Linked DNA regions of Arabidopsis thaliana. The protein of the gene in region 2 binds, or shares a complex with, the protein of the main gene of each other region. Each region holds a gene or a part of one and is shown on either strand. Other genes may lie near its edges.

Region 1 (6,760 bases), on a different chromosome or scaffold from region 2:
ATCTTGACGAAAACATATTGGTTCGGTTGTGGTTTGAGAGATTTCTTTTTGGTTCAAATCGGTTTCTATGTCCAATCCTTTGATATCACTCGAGATAGTTTCTTACAAATGATATCATATATAACTTTGAATTCACCTCAAGATGGTATTATTTTCCTTAAAAAAGAAATCCATCAAAATTGTGCATCTCCAAAGCAATGAGCAATGCTGAATCTCCAAGCTAAGTTAAATGAAAAAAAGGTTCCTCTTTTAACAAACTTTCCCACACCAACATCCTCACTCAATAATCTCAACTTGTTTTCTCTTCCTCTAGTAAAAAAAAAAATGTCTTTCAAGAAGATGATGAAGTATATACTCAAAACCATATTCAAACCCATTTTTATGGCATGCGGTTGCGGCTCTACCGTTCCACCTTCCTCTCACAGCCACTACACCCCGGGACCACCGGTTTCTCCCACGGTTTTACGCAGCCCATGTCCTAAGATCGATGAGAGCGTCGCGATGGCTAAAGAATCAATCAATCCGTTCGAAGATTACAAGAAGTCGATGAATCAGATGATCGAAGAGAGATATATCGAGACGGAAAGTGAACTTAAGGAGCTTCTAAGGTGTTTCTTGGACATAAACCCTTCTCCTCAACACAATCTCATCGTCCGTGCTTTTGTCGACGTCTGTTCACATCTCCAACCACCACACGACCGACGTGGGAAGTCACTTGGGAGATTGCTTCGTCTATATGTTAACAATCCTCTTGATAACAATGATGATGACTCACACCAAACTTCTTCAAAATGAGGAACTAAATCCTCCTCATATCTCTCTCTATATATAGATGTTACAATATTGTGAATAATTTCAATTTATGATTCCATGACTAGATGTAAACTATTAAACAACACCAACAAAAATCAAAGTTATACCTCAAAGCCTAGCTCTAACGTAACGATAATATTTTACTGCACAAAAAGTTTTGAAGTGTAAATTGGTTAAACAAAACCAAATTGAGTTATTTCGTTTTGGTTTTTGGATTTGGTTAAAACGAGAGATGAATAAGATAATTTCGATTTCGACTGTATAAATGATTAACAAAGATTAATTAAATTAATTAATTATAAATCCCTCAAAAAACCTCTAAACCATACAAAACTCCGGCGTGTTTCTCCGCCCCATCCTCAACGAAATACAAATCCCTCATCCTCTGAAACGCCTGCCACGTCAGCAAACTATCCGAACCGGCTTGATGACATTTCCCAACCGCCCGGTTAACTTCAAGAGACCGAGCAACCCGGTCCAAACCACCATACAATCTCTGCTCACAAAACCTCATAATATGTTTCACATCATAAACCCTATCACCGAAGAAAGCTCTAAGCAACCCTAAAAACTCACGCAACGCCACCGGAAGCTGCCGGCGCGTGAGAATCTTCACAAGGTAACCAAAATCATACGCGCTGTGAAACGTCACCCAGCTCACAGACTCGTTACAGATCAACCCCGATGACATCATCAGCTCCGCGAACCTCTCCGATTCAACACCTTCGCGACGGTTCCGCTCGAAATCGATCCCGTGACGACGGAGTAGCTCGATCGAATCAGGAGCGTGTGGATCACGCTCCACGTCGAAGTCACGGAAATTGAATTCCCAGATGTATCGACGGTTTTTTTGACCGCCGAGATCTGGGAGGTTTCCGTCGGCGTCGGAGAGAGTAAGACCGACTTGGATCAAACTTAAAGCGTCAACGTTGGATTTGAGAAGATTGTAGAGATAATTAGGGTTTCCACGGCGGAGAACGTCGAGATCCGCCTTGTAAATCACGCCGGGAAATTCTGTATCCATTGAGATGAATGGGTAATCTTCGACGATTCCTCTGATTAGGTCAAACTCTGACTCGAGATTATAAGCCCAAACGTCACGAATCACGATCACATCGGAGAGATCTGCTTCTGATTTGATCATAGTTTCAAGTCCCGATCTTTTAGGTCTTCTTCTTCGTTGTGAATTTATCAAAAGTCTGTTTTTTTTTGTTGATTTGGTTAATCTGCAAGGTTTAGTTATATATATGAATGTGAGTAAGAGAGTGTTTACGAGGAAGGAGAGGAGAAGAAGTGTGAGAAACGCGCACGTTTATGATTCAATGTGTTTCTTGACTTAGTCTAAGTTGGCTTCTCCTTCGTGTATCGAATTATTGCAATTCAAGTCGTTGTATTTAAGTAAGTACATTAAGCCGACAAGAATAAGAAGGCCAAGTACATTAAGATTTTCTATTGGTTTTTAAGAGTTGAATAAAACATGTAAACGTTACGACTTACGACCAATGAACTTTATCAGGAATATTGCTATATTACCAATAAACACTGAATATGTAACGACGCACTAAAAACGCATTAAAGGGTTGAATCATTAGATTATGATGATGTCTACACGTATCTGATTGTGCTTTAATGTTTTCACGAAATTGTAGCAACAGCGAAGCCTAGGTTGAGCCCTTTTCAGTTTTCATTGTTCCCTAGTTTACTCATCGAATCTCATGACTTTGTTGGTAGTGTTTAGAAGATTGTTCTTCCAGATTTGGATGTAAGTCCCAATTTCTAGAAACAATATCACAAACGTAGATAGTCCGTGGAGTTTTCCATCTTCAGTCAATATAATAAGAAACTTTTTAGGACGTTGACCTTGAACAGAGTTGTTAAACACATGACTGTTTTTCTTTCATTTCCTTTGTTTGCAATAACTTGATATTGTTCCATGTTAATGAAGAAATAATTTATTAATTCCAAATGCATCAATTGTAAAACTAAATTATTTAAATTATGTAAACCTTCTTTTGTTTGTAATTTTGTTTTTGCATCAATTGTAAGCCTAAATTATTTAAAACACTACACACTTCTTTCTCCGCCTTGTGTTGTGAATTATTTTCTGTTAAAATTTAACTGCCTTTTCTTGGAGACAAGCCTTAAGGTTGTTGTCAAGTAAAACTTGGAATCACGGTTGGAGTAGATGACGTCACATGAGTCATCAGGGGAAGAGGAGAGCGACATGTTGATAATGATATTATTAGAACAGTCAGGCTCCAGAGGAGGCAAGGATATGACTTTGTGATTCAACATGTTGGTGATATAGACGCAGGAGGGATCATTAGAATTCACGTTGATCGAGGAGTATAATTTATGTATTATGACGTAATGATAGAAAAAAAGAAGGTTTAATATAACATGAATGATTTAGGGTAAAAAAGAGAGAGGAATAAGATGTTGATCACAACTTTGACAAAGAAAAATGCGAGGCACTTCCTCATTGTGTTGAACACCAACACACCTTGTGTGTTGCCATACTTCACAAATATCACAACACACCATTCTCTCTCCATCTTCTTCCGTTGCTCCACACTCACACTCTATTCTCTTATCCTTCTTTTTATCATCATCTTCATAACATTTCGTCACTTCAATGTTCATCATCATTCCTACGTTCCCTTCTAACACCAATCCCTTATTCCCATTCAAGGCCATTTCATCGACCCTTGTGATCTCTATTTGACCACCCACCACTGACTCCACCACGACGTCTCTTAGTTCCCAATAGATATCTCTAAACACTCTTTCTGCCTCTCCGTACACTTCACTCAATGTTGCATCTTTCTTCACTACAATGCATTCTTGTGGAGGAACTTTTATCTCGTTGTTATGATGATGACATTTCCACGCGATCGTGCAGAATATTCCTAATTCTTCCCCTCGATCTAAGTGTAACGTTTTCGCCGATGTATCTCTAATGTAGTGATACTCTTTGATGAAGTACTTAGCGTCGAGGATTGCTCTTGAAGCCATTCCGATTTGGTTCAATATACCTCCTATGGGGCCTAACACTCCCTTGTAGTCCATGAGAATGTGTTTGTAAAAATAAAACATGTCTTTCATAACTTGACCTCTTGTGATCTTATTGTGACCGTTTGTCGCCATCTTCCCCATTGAGTTTTGGTTTTGAAGGGTTATGAGTTCATTGTTACTACTTGGTAACAAATTTGATATATCCTCCAAGGAATACTCTAGCACTTTCTTCACCGGATTTAGACTACGTCGGACCAAATAGTTTCCAACCACCTGGTTCCCAAGCGACTTCAACACAAAATCAAGCAAACCAGTGTCCCCAATGTAATTTCTAGCTGCATCCCTCACTTCTTGTCTCGATATCCATCGGTATTCGACTCTTTTCAGTGACTCTATGACCACTTTGATAGCCATTTGGATCCGTTTTTGAGACCATCTGCAGTTGGTACTATCAATGGAGATGATTTGGTTTCGGGAGTTACTCATGTAGTTATCTCTTGGAAGACGTGAATGGAGATGAAGCATGAACCTGAAGAGGTCACTGAGAGTGATCAATGGCTCGGTGGATAAACTTTGGTACTTTGACAAGAGGATTGGAGTTTCTCGGTTAAGGCTGGTTAGGTGATGGTTAAGCAAGCACAAGGGTATGTTACGGACCGACTCAAGTGCCTTCTCGTAAATCTTTTGAGTCACTCCGTATGTCCCTGACCCGAACCGGTAGCCCCAACGACCGAACCATGGCTCTCCTTTTGCTACCCCATGCAGCAGCCTCAACTCCATTCCTTTTTTGTGCGACGCGTCATTCAACCCTATTTTCCTATATGAACAAAAATAAAATGACTCATTATGTGTAAATCCAAATTAATAGCTAGGAATAATCCATTATGATATGAAAACTAACAGAATTGTGTTGAATGGTTATTGTGTTGAATGGTTTATATGATATACAAATATATAAAGTCTAATTAGTACCTGGCCTTTAAACCGGTGCAGAGCCGGTCCCACAAATCCATGACCTGATGACCGGTTAAGTCGGAGCCGGTTTCAATGCCGTTGAGAGAGAGCAAGTGACCAAATCCGTTGGAGTGAAAGAAGCCGTGAAGGACATGGCCTTGAAGCTCCACAAGATGGGAGAAACTTTCCTTTTCGGGAAAAGCGTAGCCTCCACCTTCCAGTTTTAAAAAAGCCGCCATTGTTTCCTTTGAGGGGATCACGAAATGGTACTTCTTGTTGCATATCATTTGATTTCCCCAACCTGCAAGGTTCCGTATAAACCATTGTATAATATATATTTTTGATCTTTACATAAATGCATCACTTTTAACCATATATTAAATTATTATTGCTATTTTTGTTCATAAGTACGTGTAAGCTTGTATATAGATATATATGCAAGAAAAATGCTTACATGTTGAGCTAGCTAGGTCAACTCTTACTAAATTTTCAGCTTATGATCTTAGGTCATATATAGTTATATACGAATGTATTCACATGCATATATAGATAGATACGCAAAAGAAAAATTGTATACAGAGAGAGAGAAGGGAAAAGAGAGAGAGGACGTCACCAACATATTGGCAATGGTTGCAACGGAGATTGAGAGAGGCTTCGATGGGCTCTTCTACGACAAAGAGAAGAACATAGAGAGGATTTGGATTTCGTTGAATCTCGAGCTGAAAAGACCAACTTCCCATTAGACCGGAGCTCTCAAAGTGACCAAACTCAAGTAGTTTAGCGAGGTTATCTCGAAAAGACAACTCGTTCATCTCAGCTGGATGTCCAGACTCTCCGAACGTCTTCAGCCTAAAAACTCTACTTTCCCCTCTCTTCCTCTTCTTTGGAATATGTTGCTGATGGTCTGTTCGAATCAGATTCGCCATCGAATCAGAAATTTGGTTTGATCTTGAGAAGAGAGGGAATAGGAATATGATAGATTTGGATATATATTATGATGGGGTTTGTTATAAGAAGAGACCGAAAAGTGTTGAGGAAGTGTGTTAAGGGTTTAGAGATATAGTAGTCATTAAGATGATGGTCACACAATTAGTGCTTTGTGGTGATGAAAAGGAAAAGTGAGTGAGAGAAAGAGAAAGGTTAATTAAACTGTGAATTAACAATTGTTACCATTGGATTGTATGTTAGGTCTTGATATGTGCATGACTTGTAACATTAACAACTTTTCTTTCTTAGCCAAATAATTAACTATTTTTCAAAAAAACATTCAAACCCTTCTTATTCCCAAATCTAATTTCATTTCTAAAAATACTTCTGTAATATTCGAAACTGGATTGATAATTTTAATACATATACATGTATTTGTGTAAGAATATGTGACAAATGGCATGCAAAAAGATCGAGGGTGAGGAATGTCACGTGACTTGGGAACATGAGAAGATAATATAATAAAATAATGAAGACATGCATTTGAGCTTCTCACATTTTTAAAGAATCAGATTAACTCTGTGTTCCGTCAATTTCTGTCATGTCTACCTGCACATATATGCATCTATTACATAACACACACGTGTGTGTTTGCGTGGTTGGACAAACTCAATTTAGTCGATTATCAATGTTTTAATTGATATGTAGTTTATTGATTTGTGATAGTGTTGATGATTTGTCATCACTATATGTTCAAACCCACATAGTTATTGTTAATTAAACATAATTAATATGTTACATCAATAGAAAAAGGTGTTTACATCAATAGATGTTTTTTAGCGGTTTAAAGAAAGTTTCAAATTATGTTCTCAGAAAAAGTGGTTTGCAAATTGCAATGGTATTTACTTAATAGTTAATATATTACATTCAAAATTGTACTCACCTTAATGATTGCAGTGATCACAACAACTTTGGGTACTTACAGTCACTTCAGTGCTTCAAATATATGTTTTTAGTGTTACAATCTTCGTAAAAAAAAAGAGTTAAAAGT
Region 2 (9,934 bases):
ATAGTTTCAATGTTTCAAACCTTTATGTTAAGAAATCTTACGTTTTGAACAACAAACAAAATCTTACGTTGAAGATTTAGATCCAACACACACAAAAAAATCCGGTTTAAATCTATTGGTACACTCAGGATCTAAAATTTGTAAACTAAAAAACAAAAACTTTTAAGATTCAACTATCTCTTACGTAGGAAAAAAAGAGAAGAGTCAATTTAAGTGGTATATATCATTTTCCATAAAAAGTGGGAAATCACATGGGTTATATATTTTCAACGTAAGGAAGTGAAAGGTCGAATCCATCACATCTTTTTTAATCATAATTGAGAAAGTAATCAAACTTAATTACGATCTTCACGAAATGGCAACGGGTAGGGGATGCACCATGCACGTGAAGTTCACGGAGACAAGACATTTCTTGCCTGTTGGCTGTTGCACTCATTACAACCTTTATTTCTTTGGCAAACACTCAATACAAACCTTAAATTTCTGGATCTCCACAAAATAGTTATATATGTAGGGACATAGCCCTGCATTGGATATTTTTTTTTGTTTTTTCCTTGCCACCTTACTGGCTTTAGTATAACAAACACATTAACCTCGCATTTTCCTAATCTTACGTGTAACATGAGCTCAGAGAAGGGTAATTGCATAACATATCATTTTTAAATACTAAGTAATAGCATAACATTTGTCATGATATTACAAATTATATAATTTTTTGTAATGTTTGGGTAATTATATAGCAACGGAAAGGGATGCTTATGAAAAGGAAGGATAGAGACTTCCTTCCTACATAGATGTAGGAGCAGCAAAGATCAAATGTGACCTCTTTATGGGTGAGATCAGTGCCATGGTACATGTTAGAGAGACCCATCTGAAAGACCCGAGAGGAAGTCCAAGTCGCGGCCACAAATAGGTACATGATGAGTAAGTCCAGGGCCAATCTTGCATGATAAAATATAACAACTTACGTAATATTTATATATAGCACATGTTATTTTTCTCTATGTTTTTAGCTTTCAAAATGTCGTATTTTCTGATACATGCTAGCTAGAGTTTTTTTTTTTTTTTCAAAAATTCTATTTTGCAAACTAACCTTAATAAACGTAGCACAAATTCATTTTAGGACAGATATTTCATACCAGGCTGGATATACAAATCCATAAGATATATAAAACACTTCTATAGGAGAATTCAAAAGACTATTTTTCCTAATCTGCCTAATCGAAGGCAGCTCAACCGAACATATATGAGAATTCTATTAATAGGTTAATATGTTTTTCTATTTTTGTTCAGTAGGACATCTTTTATATTTTGTAATTCGAACTATATGGGTCGGAAGTTGTGGAACCTTTTTATGTGTTCACTGGTTCATCAGCCCTACCAGTTTGCATCTAATTATTAAACTAAAAAATGAGACTTAAAATACATAGATGATTCAATTCTTGAGAGAAAAATGAATTTTGCCATGATAACGTAATTAAACTGAAACAGTTATGTAATACTTACTAGTATTGTTCTGCAATTATGGTTTGGTCCCAAAAAAATAACAACATAACTCTCCTGTCTCTTTCATGTTAATATTTAATGTTCTGTTTTGGACATGTCCTCTTTGTGTGGAATTTACCATGAAAAATCAGGAATTGGGTTGACCCTACGAAATGAAGACTCTTTCATTGAGCACAAACACCAAAATCTAGACATTTTTTTGTTTGTTGTTTTGGCGTTTCTTTAAGTTGAACTGGTGAAAAGAAAATAATTACGAAACCTTTTAGAATTAAAAAGAAGACAGAACCCGACTAAACACTTTTAAAAGTCCAAAAGAGCTGGATCGGTTCCATATGCTTTTTGCCCAGTTAATTCTTTTTCTATCTGACATCTCTCAAAAATTTAGCTTAGTAAAACCATTATACCATTCCAAAATCAAAGTTATGTAGCTAATACATCAAATCCTCATCACATTCTAACAGACAACGACAACAACAACAACAACAGAAACATAACTGATTAAGGATTTGGATGGAACAGCAATTTTGATGTAATAAGGATTTAGTTGTTTCTTTAAGAAACATTTGAATAGATGAAAGATACATATAATGCTCAATATGGCTGCTTCTCTGGTCCACCATCATGGTATATAGTTATTAAACCAAAGACAAATGAAACATTTTCATAATGCCAGACCAAACCAAACCGAAAAATACATGAGAGAAAAAAAGTCAAAACAGCATCAAACATCTGTTGGGCATTTCATCGAACACTTTGAAGGCATGCTACCAAGAAATAAGCTAAACAGATTCTTCATTGATCTGAATAAGATTTTCTTCTTCTTGTCTCTTCTGCATATCCTTCTCGTATTGATTCAACGCTTCCTCCATCCTCATCTGCGTAAAACCCAACAGTCTAAGGTCGAGCACAAGCTTTCTCATAGGAAGACAGAGAGAAGAAACAGACCTTGTAGCTAACTTCGATGCGATGCATTACGTAGAATCCGAGGGCCCCGCCGAGAAGTGTTCCAGCTATGATCCGTGCGTAACCCCATGTCATTGAGCTCAACGCCATTAATTTCCTCACTTTCTCTTGTCTCTTCTTCCTTCGATTCCAACTTTACAGCTCTCAATCTCTTTAGAATTCCTTTTCATTTTACCGGAACCAAGATTAGAACCGTACCAATTGGTTCAATTCTTTCTTTTTGGTACATTTAAACCAAGCTTATGTCCGCTTCGGTTTAGATCCAGAATCAAGTAAACTGGTTCTCTCACTTTAAATTACGTTCGAAGAAGTCGATTTAATATCCTAGTGACCCAATACGCACACAAGATTGAAGCTTCTGATCGTCTCAATTTTTATTTATTTATCGAGAAGTCGGTTTGATATAGAACCATGATCAGGTAATTTCGGTACGCTTATACATTTAATAAAAACACATTTATAACGGTTCGGTTCAAAGAAAACTAAGCTGGCACTAGATGCCTTTAACCGTCCGGTTCAAAGACAAATTCAGAAACAAGAGCCAAGTGATCGCTTCCCAATTCCTGCAAACCAAAGACGAATAAGGCTTTAAGCATCAATCATAGAAATGACCTCACCAAATCTAAACTGTTTGATAGAAAGACATACTTGACAAGGAAGGCCTTTGGTTTTGCATAGAACATCAATAGGAAGTGTGTCAAGAACTCTTGCAGGTAAAAGACCATCAGAGTACCTTAACCAGACCACACATGTATTTCTAATTAGTTACTTCATCAGCCAAATATTAAATTTGTCCATTTGAGTTTTGGTTGTGTTTAGAATGTTTTACCAGAGATAATCAACCGTTCCGAGAAATTTCGAGTGATATGAGGTTGCTAGAGGTTCACCAACAGAGTCCCTGGTATTTGCTGAGCCCTGTTGTGTACCATGTTCATGAGCAAATTTAAGGTCTTGTCATATATAGACAGGGACATTAAAGCTTTGTTTGTTACCTTAACTGAGGCGTATGAGCTATTGAGTTTCAGAGGATGCGCAGCCCAGTACGAGTTCTCTTGCCCGGTTGCGACACGGATCTCTTCTTTTGTCCAAGAGCTACAAAAACTTCTACTAGTGTGTGAACACAATGGCTATTCCAGCAGGCAGTCACAAGACAACCATTCACAGAACTGATTAAATCTTCAAAAAACAATCTTACCTGAAAGTTATTGTATTACTGGATTTGCTACCAGTTTCAAGAACTTTGGTAGGACGACAATTTTTCTGGCCGGACAGCTCTTTTTTGTCATGTTCCATGACATTCAGCTGTAAGATAGAAGCATAATCCTATTTAAAGAAACTACAAGAGGACACAGTGTAGTTTGACTGAAGCAAAACTATGAATAGTCATACCTCAGAGGACGCCAAGAAGTTGTACAATGGACTCTACACGTAATAAGATAAACTCAAACAATGAATAAACAAATACACAAACCAAAGTGGAAGAGTTTATTTGAAAAGATACGTACCTTGGGAGTGCTATTGAAATCTCCGCATAGAACAATGGGAATGTCACCCCATTTCTTAGAGAGCAAGTGAGCCTTTGAGCAGAGTGAACGGACCTATCAGTCAAGAACAAGGCAAATCAGGAACTCAAGAAAAAACATAAGCCACGAATTCAATACGTTTTCATGAGCATTAGGACATATACTAATGAACATGTCATGACATATACTAGTAACTTAGACTTGTCTTAGATATTTAAACTAATGCTAGTAAACATCTCTTGACTGAGATTCAGTACAATTTCCTGAAGTCTTAAAGCCAAAGGTGAAAGGGCCAGATCAACATTTTGTAAACTTTCATGACAGTCAATTGCTCGTGTAGCGGATATACAAATTGAAATGTCGAGGCTTACCTGACCCAGCTTCACATCTCCTTGATTTGGATTATAAAGCACGTGAATGTTACCCAGCAGTATCTTTCTTGACTTATTAGACTTCCGGAGCTGACGGGAAACCCAAAAAAAAACTGGATCAGTCAAAGCATATACATGAAAAAAGAAGTTCGTAAAACATTCAAAAAAAATTTCTACCTCAAGAACAGCAAGCTGTGCAACATTATCCCGCATACCAAACTGGCTAAACTCAATGTTTTCCCTCTCCAAAACTCCAAACCTTTTGAAAACAAGATAAATCTTAAACAATGCTGAGTTGTAGTAGTCGTTTTTCTTCACACTAATACAGATTGAGTCAAACAATATGTGCTACCTGTCAGCCTTCCAAAACATTGCGCAACCATCGACGTTATCTCCAGTTCGCCGCTGCCATTGCAAAGCTTATATTTGTAGTCCTTCTATATAAACACAACTTTTGTTGAGGCTTCAGACGAAAAGGTAAATAAAACCAACCGACAAACCATGTCTTACATTTTACCCCATTAATCTTATAAGCATAAAATTTTTCATTGAACAAGGAAATACATCAACCTTATAGGAGCCAGCATATCCAGCTTTCTCCATCATACTGAATAGATCAAAATATTTATCTACTTCCTACAAAGGTCCACAAACAAAATCAACTTAACTATCTTAACACGATATAAAACAAGGTAAAGTTCATTACCTGCATAGAGATTATGTCTGGATTGAGACGAATGAGTTCTTCGCATATCAACCTTTTGCGGTAGCCCCACTTGAGGTAAGGAACAGACACATTGGAGTACAACTCTCTGTGATATGATGAATTTCCATCTCCCAATATGTTGTACGACACTACAGTGAATCTCTCTAAAGCTAATATTACATAGAGACACACTAGTAAGATCCAAAGGCATCCACAATTTCACAAGCTTCATGGACAAACAGTAACTCAAGCTATTACTAATATCTCTAATTTACTAAATCCTAACTAGTTCACAAATTCATAAGTAAGAGCAGAGTTTTTCCATAAGATCATTATTAAACTACCTTGAGAAACTGGAGTTGTATCTGAATCGATCCAATCACGAGCAATCTGAGAAGACGGTATTTGATCGGGATGTTGACGCCGGGGAAGAGGATTCTGCCATCTACGGCTGTAAGAGCGATTTGAAGATGATTCGGGATTTGAATCGGACGGTCCAGATGTGGAGGAGGAGCAACACACGAAAGAGGAACGGAAAGATAGAGACGATAAAGGACATTGATGGAATCCAGATGAAAGGTGACCACCGGAGGGTAAGATACGGTAAGCTTCGCTTGGCCGTGACCAAGAACAATCAACGCGATTCACACAACGCATTCGATTTTGTGGATGTTAGAGACGAAATTCAGAAATTTGGATGAAATCGAAAACCACACAAACCTCTTGGCGCCATACGGATAAATATCTTTTTTTTTTTCTTCCTTTGGTCAGAGAAAAAAAAATACCAAACCATGGGCCATGGGCCAATACTAGTATACTACACCAGGCCTTGTTTAGCTGAGATCCTGTTTTTTGTTATTCGGATTTTTTGTTTTAATGTCTATTGTTTTTTTTTGTGAGTTTGATTTCAATTTATGTCATTTTGTTTCTAATTTTAGTAGGATGTCAGTTTTTATTTTAGTCTAGTTTTATCATGTTAAGAACTTGGAGATGATATTTGATTTTGAGTTATGAGATTTTGTTTTTTCTTTCATCGTCCTTGTAATTTTTTTTTGTTTTTTCATATACTATGATATTATTTCTACTTTTATTGGAGTATCAATTATTTGATTTCAAATTTAGTGATAGTAGCTCAAAAAAAAAAAACCTTACACAAAAAAGTATATGTCTTTTTGTGTAAGGCGATTACTGATTACACACACAAAAAAAAAAATGTCTTCGTTTCTACCTTTTTTTTTGTTGCAATATTGCCTTTGACAAAGAAAAACTCTATGATTGCGTCTACATTATAATGTTCTTTAAACTTTACTATAAAATATCACTAACTAATCTTGAAATACAAATTAGTGAAGGCATATTGTTAAATATAAAAGTGTATGCGATTTAAAACATTACTGATTGAATTGCATAATCTCATTTTATGGAAAAAAAGTAAAGTAGGTATAAGAAAATGGATATAACAAGATTAAAAACAAAAGAGAAATAAATGACACGCAACAACCAAAGCCAAAAGGGTGCGTTACCATTAATTCAGGGAAAGCGAAATAAACCCAAATCTCTCTTCTAACGAAGTAACAACTCACCCACTTCTCACATTGATTCACTCCTTTCCAGTTTTTACATATAGCCTTCGTTCATCAATCACCTTAAGCAAATTGCAATCACAAAAAAAAAAAAGTACAGTACTTAGCAAAATTTTAAGTTTTTGTTATTTCCACGGCAACTTAGCAAATATGCACCACATATTGACATTAGCTAATATACAACACATGTTTTTTTAGAAATGTACAAGCATTAACAAATATCCAACACAAAATGACATGATCGTAGATGATTAAGATAATTCGATCCCTATAACTAATAGTTTCCAAAACTTCTGCTGACTTTTCTCTCGACAGCGATGGTAAGAAGAAGGTACAAAGTTTTGAAGCCCGAATATAACAAAAGGACAGAAAGCTTTTAGTTTTCTAGATAAGATCTTAGCTTTGGTCACGTAAAAAAAATTAAAAGTGAATTGGTTAACAATATAGGAGTACTTTGTATCCAAAGGTCATTGCAATAAATAAACACTTAAGTACTCTGTAGTCACACATCTCTAGGAGCTTAATATTGGATAATCGCTTGTAGACTTGTATTAAAATATTTAGTAGGTCAAATCCCTATCTTCTACAGTTTCTACTCTCGTCCGTACAGACTACAGACACTATGCTATAGTTTTGTGTTGAATTCTACAAAGTACAAATTCTTCTTTCGGTGCCAATAACAAATAAACACAATTCTCAAATTACATTTGTCTAAATTTTTATTTGATTCGGTATAAATGTAACGCTATGTTGGGAATCATATGATAAATCCAGATTAAGACTTCTTATTTAATTTATTTTTGTATATATAAAATATAATATCCAACCATAAAGTTTTTTTACCGATCGATGATAATGTGAATCCAAATATTTTAACAGGATGATAAATAATTGATGTGGCTTTTATAACCGCAGCAATTCTGGCGTGACTCTCTCCGCAGCATTTATTTTTCTCTCTATAAATTAAAAACATTACTTACTCTTTCTCTCTTCCACTTAACTCATATCAACCTTCGCCGGAAATAATGGCTTTCCCGCGATTTCTTTCTCTCCTCGCCGTCGTCACTCTCTCTCTTTTCCTCACCACCACTGATGCTTCCTCTCGCTCTCTATCCACTCCACCTAAAACGAACGTACTCGACGTCGTTTCATCTCTCCAGCAAACACAAACTATCCTCTCACTCGACCCGACTCGTTCCTCACTCACCACCACCAAACCCGAATCCCTATCCGACCCGGTTTTCTTCAATTCATCTTCACCACTATCTCTAGAGCTTCACTCTCGAGACACTTTCGTCGCGTCACAGCACAAAGACTACAAAAGCTTAACACTCAGTCGACTCGAGCGCGACTCATCCCGAGTCGCCGGAATCGTCGCGAAGATCCGTTTCGCCGTCGAAGGAGTCGATAGATCCGATCTCAAACCCGTTTACAACGAAGATACACGATACCAAACCGAGGATCTAACGACACCTGTCGTCTCCGGAGCCTCTCAAGGAAGCGGCGAGTATTTCTCAAGAATCGGTGTCGGAACTCCGGCGAAAGAGATGTACTTGGTTCTCGACACCGGAAGCGACGTAAATTGGATCCAGTGTGAACCTTGCGCCGACTGTTACCAACAGTCCGACCCGGTTTTTAACCCGACTTCGTCTTCCACATACAAATCTCTCACTTGCTCTGCTCCACAGTGCTCTCTTCTCGAAACCTCCGCTTGTCGGTCAAACAAATGTCTCTACCAAGTTAGTTACGGAGACGGATCTTTCACCGTCGGTGAACTCGCTACCGATACGGTGACGTTTGGTAACTCTGGTAAAATAAACAACGTCGCTTTGGGTTGTGGTCACGACAACGAAGGTCTCTTTACCGGAGCAGCCGGTTTACTCGGTTTAGGCGGTGGTGTTTTATCGATAACCAATCAAATGAAAGCGACGTCGTTTTCTTACTGCCTCGTTGACCGTGACTCGGGAAAGTCCTCAAGTCTTGATTTCAACTCGGTCCAACTCGGTGGCGGAGACGCGACGGCGCCGCTTCTACGTAACAAAAAGATCGACACTTTCTACTACGTCGGACTCAGTGGATTCAGCGTCGGTGGTGAAAAAGTCGTGCTGCCTGATGCGATCTTCGATGTCGATGCTTCGGGAAGCGGAGGAGTGATCTTGGATTGTGGAACCGCCGTGACTCGTCTTCAGACGCAGGCTTATAACTCGCTGCGTGACGCGTTTCTTAAACTCACCGTGAATCTCAAAAAAGGATCTTCGAGCATCTCTCTGTTCGACACGTGTTACGATTTCTCGTCTCTCTCCACTGTGAAAGTACCGACGGTTGCGTTTCATTTCACGGGAGGGAAGTCGCTTGATTTGCCGGCGAAGAATTATCTGATCCCTGTGGATGATAGTGGAACGTTTTGCTTCGCTTTTGCTCCGACGTCGTCGTCGTTGTCGATCATCGGGAATGTGCAGCAGCAAGGGACACGTATCACTTACGATCTATCCAAAAATGTTATCGGATTGTCAGGGAATAAATGCTAAACATGTCAAAGTAGAAAAATTAATAGTTTTACGGGTAATCAGTAAAACTTTTTATGGTACTAGCTAGCTACGGTAACAAGATGAAAACAAAATCCTTAAGTGTGAATTTTTCTACCTTTTTTTTAATTAATCATAAGTTATTGTCGTCTTTTATCGAATAATAATAGGATTAATTAATTTTATTATAAAGTTGAAAGTGTTGTTGTCTCAGCAAGAAGTTTTCAGTAGTGAAGAAGAAGAAGAGTCAATAAAGTAAGAAGTTACAAAAAAGAAGGGTCTTTTTGTAACAAAAGTTTAGTCTTCAAAGAAACAAACAGACTTTTGTTGTTGTGGCCCTTTAATGTCCTTCAATATTTTAAATTATAGTCTGAATTTTACCAACTGTGTGGAAATCAATCAATGTGAAAGTTGTTAAGTTGGGGTATTCAAATAAGAAAAGCCAGGGTAGAAAAATTTGCCTTTTTCACACTCACCTTTGAAAAATAATACTATTTACATGGAACTGTGTCTCAGGGAATGGAATTTATCATTCTAATCATCACTGGAATTGCCCGATTACAATAGTCAGACATCACATATCATATCACTTTTCCATAATTATATATAAGATTTCAACCAAATTTGTTTCAAGTTTTATACTTTCTCTGTTCTTAGAAAATTTTAGAAAAATGATGTTCTTCTACTTTTGTAATTTGTTTTACAAAGATTAGCTTTTTAAGATTTTTATTATTATTTAGTATTAAGATATCGTAGA
Region 3 (6,563 bases), on a different chromosome or scaffold from region 2:
TTTTGCTTCTGATATAGGTGAGAAAACTGGATATTATGTCTAGTGCAGCTGTGGCTGCGATTAGTGTCTCTAACACTTCAGAACTGAGTTCTGGTGCCAAGCAAACTCGGAGCCTGCAAAGCAGAATCTTTGATTACTTCAATGGTGATGAAAAGTGTGACAGTCCGAGCAAGGCTACTCAAAATTGGTACTAACAAAATATTTTACTTGTTTTCATAGATTCCAAATTTCGATTATTGCATAGCGAATAAGGAAATATAAAACTGCGGTTGTTACATATTATTTGTTTGTCAAAGTCATCTTTCCATTAAATTGATCAACGCTTGTATTGTGGATGCAGCGCCTTTCTACGAGCAGACATAAAGGTGAAGATCCAAGAAGCCACACTGTTGTTCATACTTTATTGTTTTGCCATGTATCCAAAGAATGTCCAGTTAACTATTGTGTGTCAAAACAGGTGTTTTTGCAGAGTAATCGCCAAGCCAAATTCACACCAAGAGCCATCGCGAGAATAATGCACGGAGTTGGAAGTCCAGCTTTTCCGAATTCAGTCTGGTCCAAGACTCATTTCTGGTATATTCATCATCATCAGCTAAACCAAGCCATGCAAGTTATTGTTTGGTGATGGTACATGTGATTTAATTGAAATATGGCTTTGCAGGGGAAGGTATATGAACGTAGACTTCCGAGTGATAATGGAAGCGGCACAAACAGAGTTGTTCAATTTTGTTGACAGGAACGCAGCTTTAGCTACATAACATAAGATTAGAGGCTTTGAGTAGATTCTTAGGATATTTAAATTTATTTGTATTGTATTCTAGATTCATTGAAAGTATCCAGTAAAGAGAAATTGTGTCATATGAGAGTTGAGAGAATTGTTTTGATCGACAAGAAAAGATGAAAGTTAATCTTTAGTATTTAAAGAAACATCTGATAAAACTAGAAATTATACATAATAGCAGAGCAAGTCATGTTAAACAAACATTCAGGCATCACAAAACGTAGTTCCTTCCTTGGACCGGCATCCCAAAGTAACCACCACCAAAATACGGGTTCGGGTGATGAGCAGCAAACATCACCGATCTCGGTCTCGGTATAGGTATCGGTATTGGGATGTAACATCTAGTCATCATAAGCTGCTGCTGCTCTAGTTGATATTGCTGATGATCAACTCGTCTTACACACTGCTTTCTACTATTGAGCAAATCGAAAGTCAACTTAGTGAAGACACGAGCCGTCAATTCACTGTCTGAGCCAGCGTGATGAGCTTTTCCAACACGTTTCATCTGCAACACATCAGCTATTCTCTGTAGTCCGAATCGGCTACTTAGTCCGCTGCATGATTCAGCGATTTTCTTTACGTCAAAAACAAACTTTCCCAAAAGCTGCTCGACGGTCTCGTGAAACTCTTCCTTAGTCTCCGGTAACGGTTTCCCTCCCGTTAAGCCTTTAACGAGATAAGCATTGTCGTAAGAGCCTTGAAAATTCACCCAAGTTATCTTTCCGTCCTTCTCCTTGAGAATCTGAGAAAAGTCTCTAAAGAATTCTTCGATTCCAATACCTTCCTCTCCGATCTTGTCCAGATTGAGACCATTGCTTTTGAGAAAAGCTATGGACTTATCGTTTTTGAAGCACTTATGTTCGTTGAAATCTGACAAGTTTATTTCCCAGGTTTTAGTGATTCCTCTTCTGTCGAATAGCGTGAAACCTAACTGGATGAGATGGGTGTTGTCCACATTGAACTTCATGTCTCTGTAACGAATTTCCTCACTCGCGTCCATCGGAGTCTCCTTTAAGCATCCGGGAAACTCTGTGTCGATAGCGATGGAACTAAAATGTTTCAAACAATCTCTTATCGAATCCATCTCTACTTCCTTGTTCCATCTCCAAACTTCACCCATCTCTCTCGGATTTTGAAGACTGAAACAGTTTGTTTATCTGAAATACTAATCTCTCTCTCTATCTGATTTCGGAGACTCGAATACTAATAGCAGTGGGAGTTTCCTTTTTTCTTACGTCGCCGGAAAGTTTCCATTTTTTTCCAGTCAAAAAGTTCGTGTTGACTTTTATCACTCCTAATTTAATTCTTGTTGGACACGAGATTTCCATTTTCCTCTCAAAAGCCCAAAATAAGAGAAGCCTGTTTCCGAAGCGGTTTACAATTTTAATACTAAACCGAATTAAATCACTAAACCGAAGTCTGACTAATACCAAAACCTTTTTCTTTTCTTTTTTCGTGTAAACATTATCATCTTTTAAACATAATACTAAGAACATACCAAATTGGGTTAAAAATTTAAAACTCATGTCGAATGAGAATAAAGAAAAGTTTAAGTTGAGCCAAAAAAAAAAAAAACAGAACATACAAAATTTGAAAATTGTCTCTAATAACAAATCTTCTACAGAAAGCTTCTCTTTTCTATTCTTTATAGGGCTAGTTGAATCTTGTATTTATGTTTGAGACATCAAATTTATTTCTGTCCTTTACGAGCAAGAAAGCGTTCTCTGGCTGCTTCAATCCGACTCTCAACATTTTCAGAAACTGCAGGTGTTTCTGCATTGTTTTTAGACAACTCCGTCTTCTCCTCAGGTACTTTGAAAGAGGGAGCCGGTCCACCGCTACATGGCAGATTAAATGATACCGATCAATTACTGAATCCAAGACCAGACAAGAAAAAGCTAGAACAAGACTGGATTGAACTAGTAAAGAGTAATGTTTGTTTTTACCTCAATTTTCTGACATTTAATTTCTCGATCTTTCTTTTGATGGGAGCCACCCATGCCATATCTACTGCACAAACATTCCGCATGAACGGACGTGTGGTGGAAATCAGCTCATGGTACACTACGTAGTTAGGCATCATTCCGTCATTGTCGGCACTCAATACAGATGATGGATGCACCTAGAATCAACCAAAAACGTCAATATGTCGATGATCATACGAAACTGGAAATGCTTACATATCTGAGCTACTGATGTAATAGAAAATCTAACACTGTAACAGATAAATGAGACTTGGATTGAGAAGTAATGCCTGGACTAGCTGGGACTGGAAACTAAGAGTCCGGTATCCATTGTGACGAAGCATTCTCTCAGCAATTTGGTTTGCATTACCAACGCATAGAGCTTTCCTCAACTTCCTGTAGTCGTCTCGGCTTGAACTCTTCCTACCATCTGCCCCAACTTCCAATCGATCTAGTTTGTCAAGGAGACCAAATATTTTAGTGACGGTTGGTTAGGTATGACACAGCCACCTATCACATCTCACAAGATAAAAGAGTGATGTTGACATAAACTCTGGTTCTGTTGGAGGCATAACCATTTAGGGTGAAAGCCATAGAGAAATAATTATATATTCTTTCACGGAATCTTCTTGTCATGAAACAATCTAACCTTTGGATATTTTCTGCATAATCTGACATAACTGTCTTCTAACATCTTTGACAAACACCATCCCTCGCACCTGCAAATTATTTTTCAACAAAAGTTATCTTTCTTATTGGCATAAGGAACCCACGTAATAATGTACCGAAATAGACTATCTAAACAAAGGTAGTAAATTTCAGTAACTCCCATAATTGTTGGTTATAAAACTGTATGAAGCAGAAAATACAAACATTGACGCCCATCGGAGTCAGGTCTCAACAATGAAGGGATTTTCTATGCTATATAGATTGTATTAACTGCAGAGACAGCATATAACTGACCACCTTCTGAAGTAACAATGCAGTAAGGCTTTTGATGTCACCATGCTTTTCACTTGGAATACTCGAGAATAGATAAGGAAGGAAGGAAGAAAATGGAACAATTACCTGCATGCCGTTCTCTTTGCACCATACAGGATCATAATTAGTACGGTCCCAAGATTCGAAAATCTGTAGCAGTTGAATGTGATCACCATATCCGGATCCATTAGGAAGATTAGAATCTTCATCATGTTTCCTCTTCTTTTCACTGGGTTTACTATCATGCAAGCAAAAACCATAAAGACAAGAGTTGACGCATCTGTATCTAGTCAATGTGATTTTAAACATTTCACAATCTGACCCAGGTTATTGTATATCGTAAAAACTAACCTCCTAGCAGGAAGAAGAGTTGTCTCTGCTGACAGCATAGCAACAACTGTTAGAGCTTGAGATAAGCAACCGGTTTCATTCGCTTCTATCAATGTTCTTGACAATGATGGTTCTAGTGGAAGATCTGTTGAACCACAAATATGGTCAGTATGAGATAGCAGCTCAAACTAGAAAAAATCAAACAGAAGAAAACTGCGCTAAACATACCAGACATTGTCCGTCCAATCCTTGTTATTGCTCCATTCTCATCAATTGCATCAATGAAATACAATTGCTTCAACGCATCTTCTAATGACTCAGCTGAATATTATATGCAGGACAAAAACCAGAGATATATTATATCACTGGAAAATTCAAAAGTATCACAAGCAAAAAAAAGAAAAACAGCAGTTTGTGCATGACAAACCATCAGTCCATTGATTTTGTAGAAAGCTTTATAAGAGACATTAAACTCCGGATAGAAATAAGTTCTTACATGAAGGAGCATCAAGAAAATCGAACTTGAGAATGTCAATATCAGGAAGATCCAATGATTTCAAGTATAGAACACTCCCGGCAAGAGAAGTTCGTTGGATTTCAGGAATAGTTGCATCAAGGAAGTCATCTCGGTAGACTGCCAATGGGTATAAACGATAACATTTCCCCGGTCTTGTTCGGCCAGCACGTCCAGCACGTTGGTTAGCTTGCACTCTGGAAAAACAAAGTGAAACAGAAAAATATTCAAAGTACAGTTAGCAAATAGGAGCTTGATGAAAACCTGAGTAAGAAACCACTGGGATTCCTGATTAAAAAATGTAATATCTGAATCTGATGAGGTCCTATTGAACCAATATAATTCCTTTTTGAGCCAACTGCGGATATCTTTACTAGTTACGGCTATAAATCATCACACATCAACTACAAGTTCATTATATGCACCAATAGATTATTACAAGGTTCATATTTAGCAAACAATCTAATGGAATGAATGAAGGTATTGAACCAAGATTCATTTGCTTACTTGCTAATTTGAATAACATCAAGAGAAAACATTCCACTTGATGGGTTATATTGTCTTTGCTTCACATACCCGGAATCAATTACATACCTGTCAAAGAAAACAGACTAGGCTGAGAATGCTATCGATCTCCAAATTGTCAAAACATTATCAGAACTTTGCTTAAAATGCAGATATGAACAAATGATACAAACAAAGACGACTTTTGGCAACAGTAACATCACAGAATAAGGAATCTTCTCATACTACATTCAGTTTTGATAGCTTGACAAAGAGACAGTACGACCTATTCATGTAGAATTAAATGTCTCAATCGTCTGTTTCAAGTTAAACTCCAAAAGTAGATCTCATAGACGTGATTGTGAACAACATGTACTGAAATGTGAAGTGAATTTAAAGGAGCGAGGAATATAACAAACAACATTAAGCCGGTATCATATATCTGCTTAAATCCATTACTGCACCTAATTACACGATTGCAGTCTTCATGATTAGTATGAATGATAAATTTATTCATTTTTTTACAGGGCCTGACTTAACACTATCGTAATGAAAGTATCAATATGTACAGTAAATCTTACGGTAGATACCAGACATGAAAACAAAAAATAACACTATAAACTTAAGGTTTTGAGTAACTTACACAACCCCGTCCACAGTAAGGGAAGTTTCAGCAATATTGGTAGAAACAATAAATCTGCGGCAGTTTGGAGGAGGAGGACTAAAGACACGAACCTGCAGAAATGGTGAAAGTCAAGCAAATTACCAAAACCTTTTACATCACCTAGATATCTCAATTGCCCAGAAGCAAAAATCTGGAATGGACACTCATATTCTGATTCTAGAAATTGTTACCTGCATTTCAGGGGGCAAAGAACCGTGAAGAGGATAAATAATAGCATCCATACAGGATCCTTCTGCTAAGCTTCGTACTTTTTCCTCTAGCCTTGATACTAATTTTTCAATATCATCCTGTTAAAACCAAAATAGAGTAAGACAGGACGCAACAATCTAGATAGTTCTGCCAGATTTCAATGGCTAGAATTGAAACAGATGATACAGACCTGTCCGGTCATGAAGATTAAAATATCACCTTCTGGCTCACGAACATGTATATCTACAAGTAACAACAAGATTTTTTGTCATGTAACAGAGAAAACATACTGTCAACAATGAAACAAGTAAGATTAACCAAATCAAATTGACTTGACAACAGAAACACTCGAGCTTGAACATACCAATAGCTACTTTCAGAGATGACTCAATATAGCTGACAGGACGCTCTTTGCTGTATAATATTTCCACGGGGTATAATTTTCCAGGTACATTCAGCACAGGGCAGCCCGAAAAGAATTCAGAAACCTTTTCGCCGTCAAGTGTTGCAGAGGTTATAAGAACTTTAAAGTTGGATGCACGGATTCTAACCAACCGTTTCACTAGACCCAACAGAATATCCCTGATAACAGTGAACCAAGTTAAGATATATTCT

The links.
Region 1: AT3G18500 (region 2) and CAF1b share a complex: the UniProt entries of both Arabidopsis thaliana proteins name them as parts of the CCR4-NOT complex.
Region 3: AT3G18500 (region 2) and AT1G27890 share a complex: the UniProt entries of both Arabidopsis thaliana proteins name them as parts of the CCR4-NOT complex.

Annotation. Positions count from the first base shown.
Region 1 is NC_003076.8:7,364,485-7,371,244, forward strand, and holds CAF1b (Polynucleotidyl transferase, ribonuclease H-like superfamily protein), read right to left. Parts: upstream 2,316-6,760; 5' UTR 1,958-2,315; coding exon 1,121-1,957; 3' UTR 993-1,120; downstream 1-992. Other genes in the region: OFP10 (Ovate family protein), read left to right, coding at 205-795; MS1 (RING/FYVE/PHD zinc finger superfamily protein), read right to left, coding at 3,223-4,645, 4,801-5,083, 5,396-5,708. UniProt on the Arabidopsis thaliana protein: Ubiquitous transcription factor required for a diverse set of processes. It is a component of the CCR4 complex involved in the control of gene expression.
Region 2 is NC_003074.8:6,348,336-6,358,269, reverse strand, and holds AT3G18500 (DNAse I-like superfamily protein), read right to left. Parts: upstream 5,799-9,934; 5' UTR 5,727-5,798; coding exon 5,414-5,726; intron 5,240-5,413; coding exon 5,070-5,239; intron 5,000-5,069; coding exon 4,934-4,999; intron 4,769-4,933; coding exon 4,716-4,768; intron 4,623-4,715; coding exon 4,541-4,622; intron 4,454-4,540; coding exon 4,364-4,453; intron 4,068-4,363; coding exon 3,975-4,067; intron 3,892-3,974; coding exon 3,859-3,891; intron 3,772-3,858; coding exon 3,665-3,771; intron 3,574-3,664; coding exon 3,462-3,573; intron 3,385-3,461; coding exon 3,299-3,384; intron 3,203-3,298; coding exon 3,118-3,202; intron 3,033-3,117; coding exon 2,973-3,032; 3' UTR 2,824-2,972; downstream 1-2,823. Other genes in the region: AT3G18510 (ATP-dependent helicase/nuclease subunit), read right to left, coding at 2,286-2,381, 2,452-2,559; ASPG1 (Eukaryotic aspartyl protease family protein), read left to right, coding at 7,678-9,180. UniProt on the Arabidopsis thaliana protein: Acts as a catalytic component of the CCR4-NOT core complex, which in the nucleus seems to be a general transcription factor, and in the cytoplasm the major mRNA deadenylase involved in mRNA turnover.
Region 3 is NC_003070.9:9,713,144-9,719,706, forward strand, and holds AT1G27890 (Polynucleotidyl transferase, ribonuclease H-like superfamily protein), read right to left. Parts: upstream 2,034-6,563; 5' UTR 1,902-2,033; coding exon 993-1,901; downstream 1-992. Other genes in the region: AT1G27880 (DEAD/DEAH box RNA helicase family protein), read left to right, coding at 18-187, 341-365, 458-573, 662-758; AT1G27900 (RNA helicase family protein), read right to left, coding at 2,472-2,619, 2,728-2,903, 3,036-3,196, 3,395-3,464, 3,814-3,964, 4,078-4,201, 4,285-4,377, 4,553-4,767 and 5 more. UniProt on the Arabidopsis thaliana protein: Ubiquitous transcription factor required for a diverse set of processes. It is a component of the CCR4 complex involved in the control of gene expression.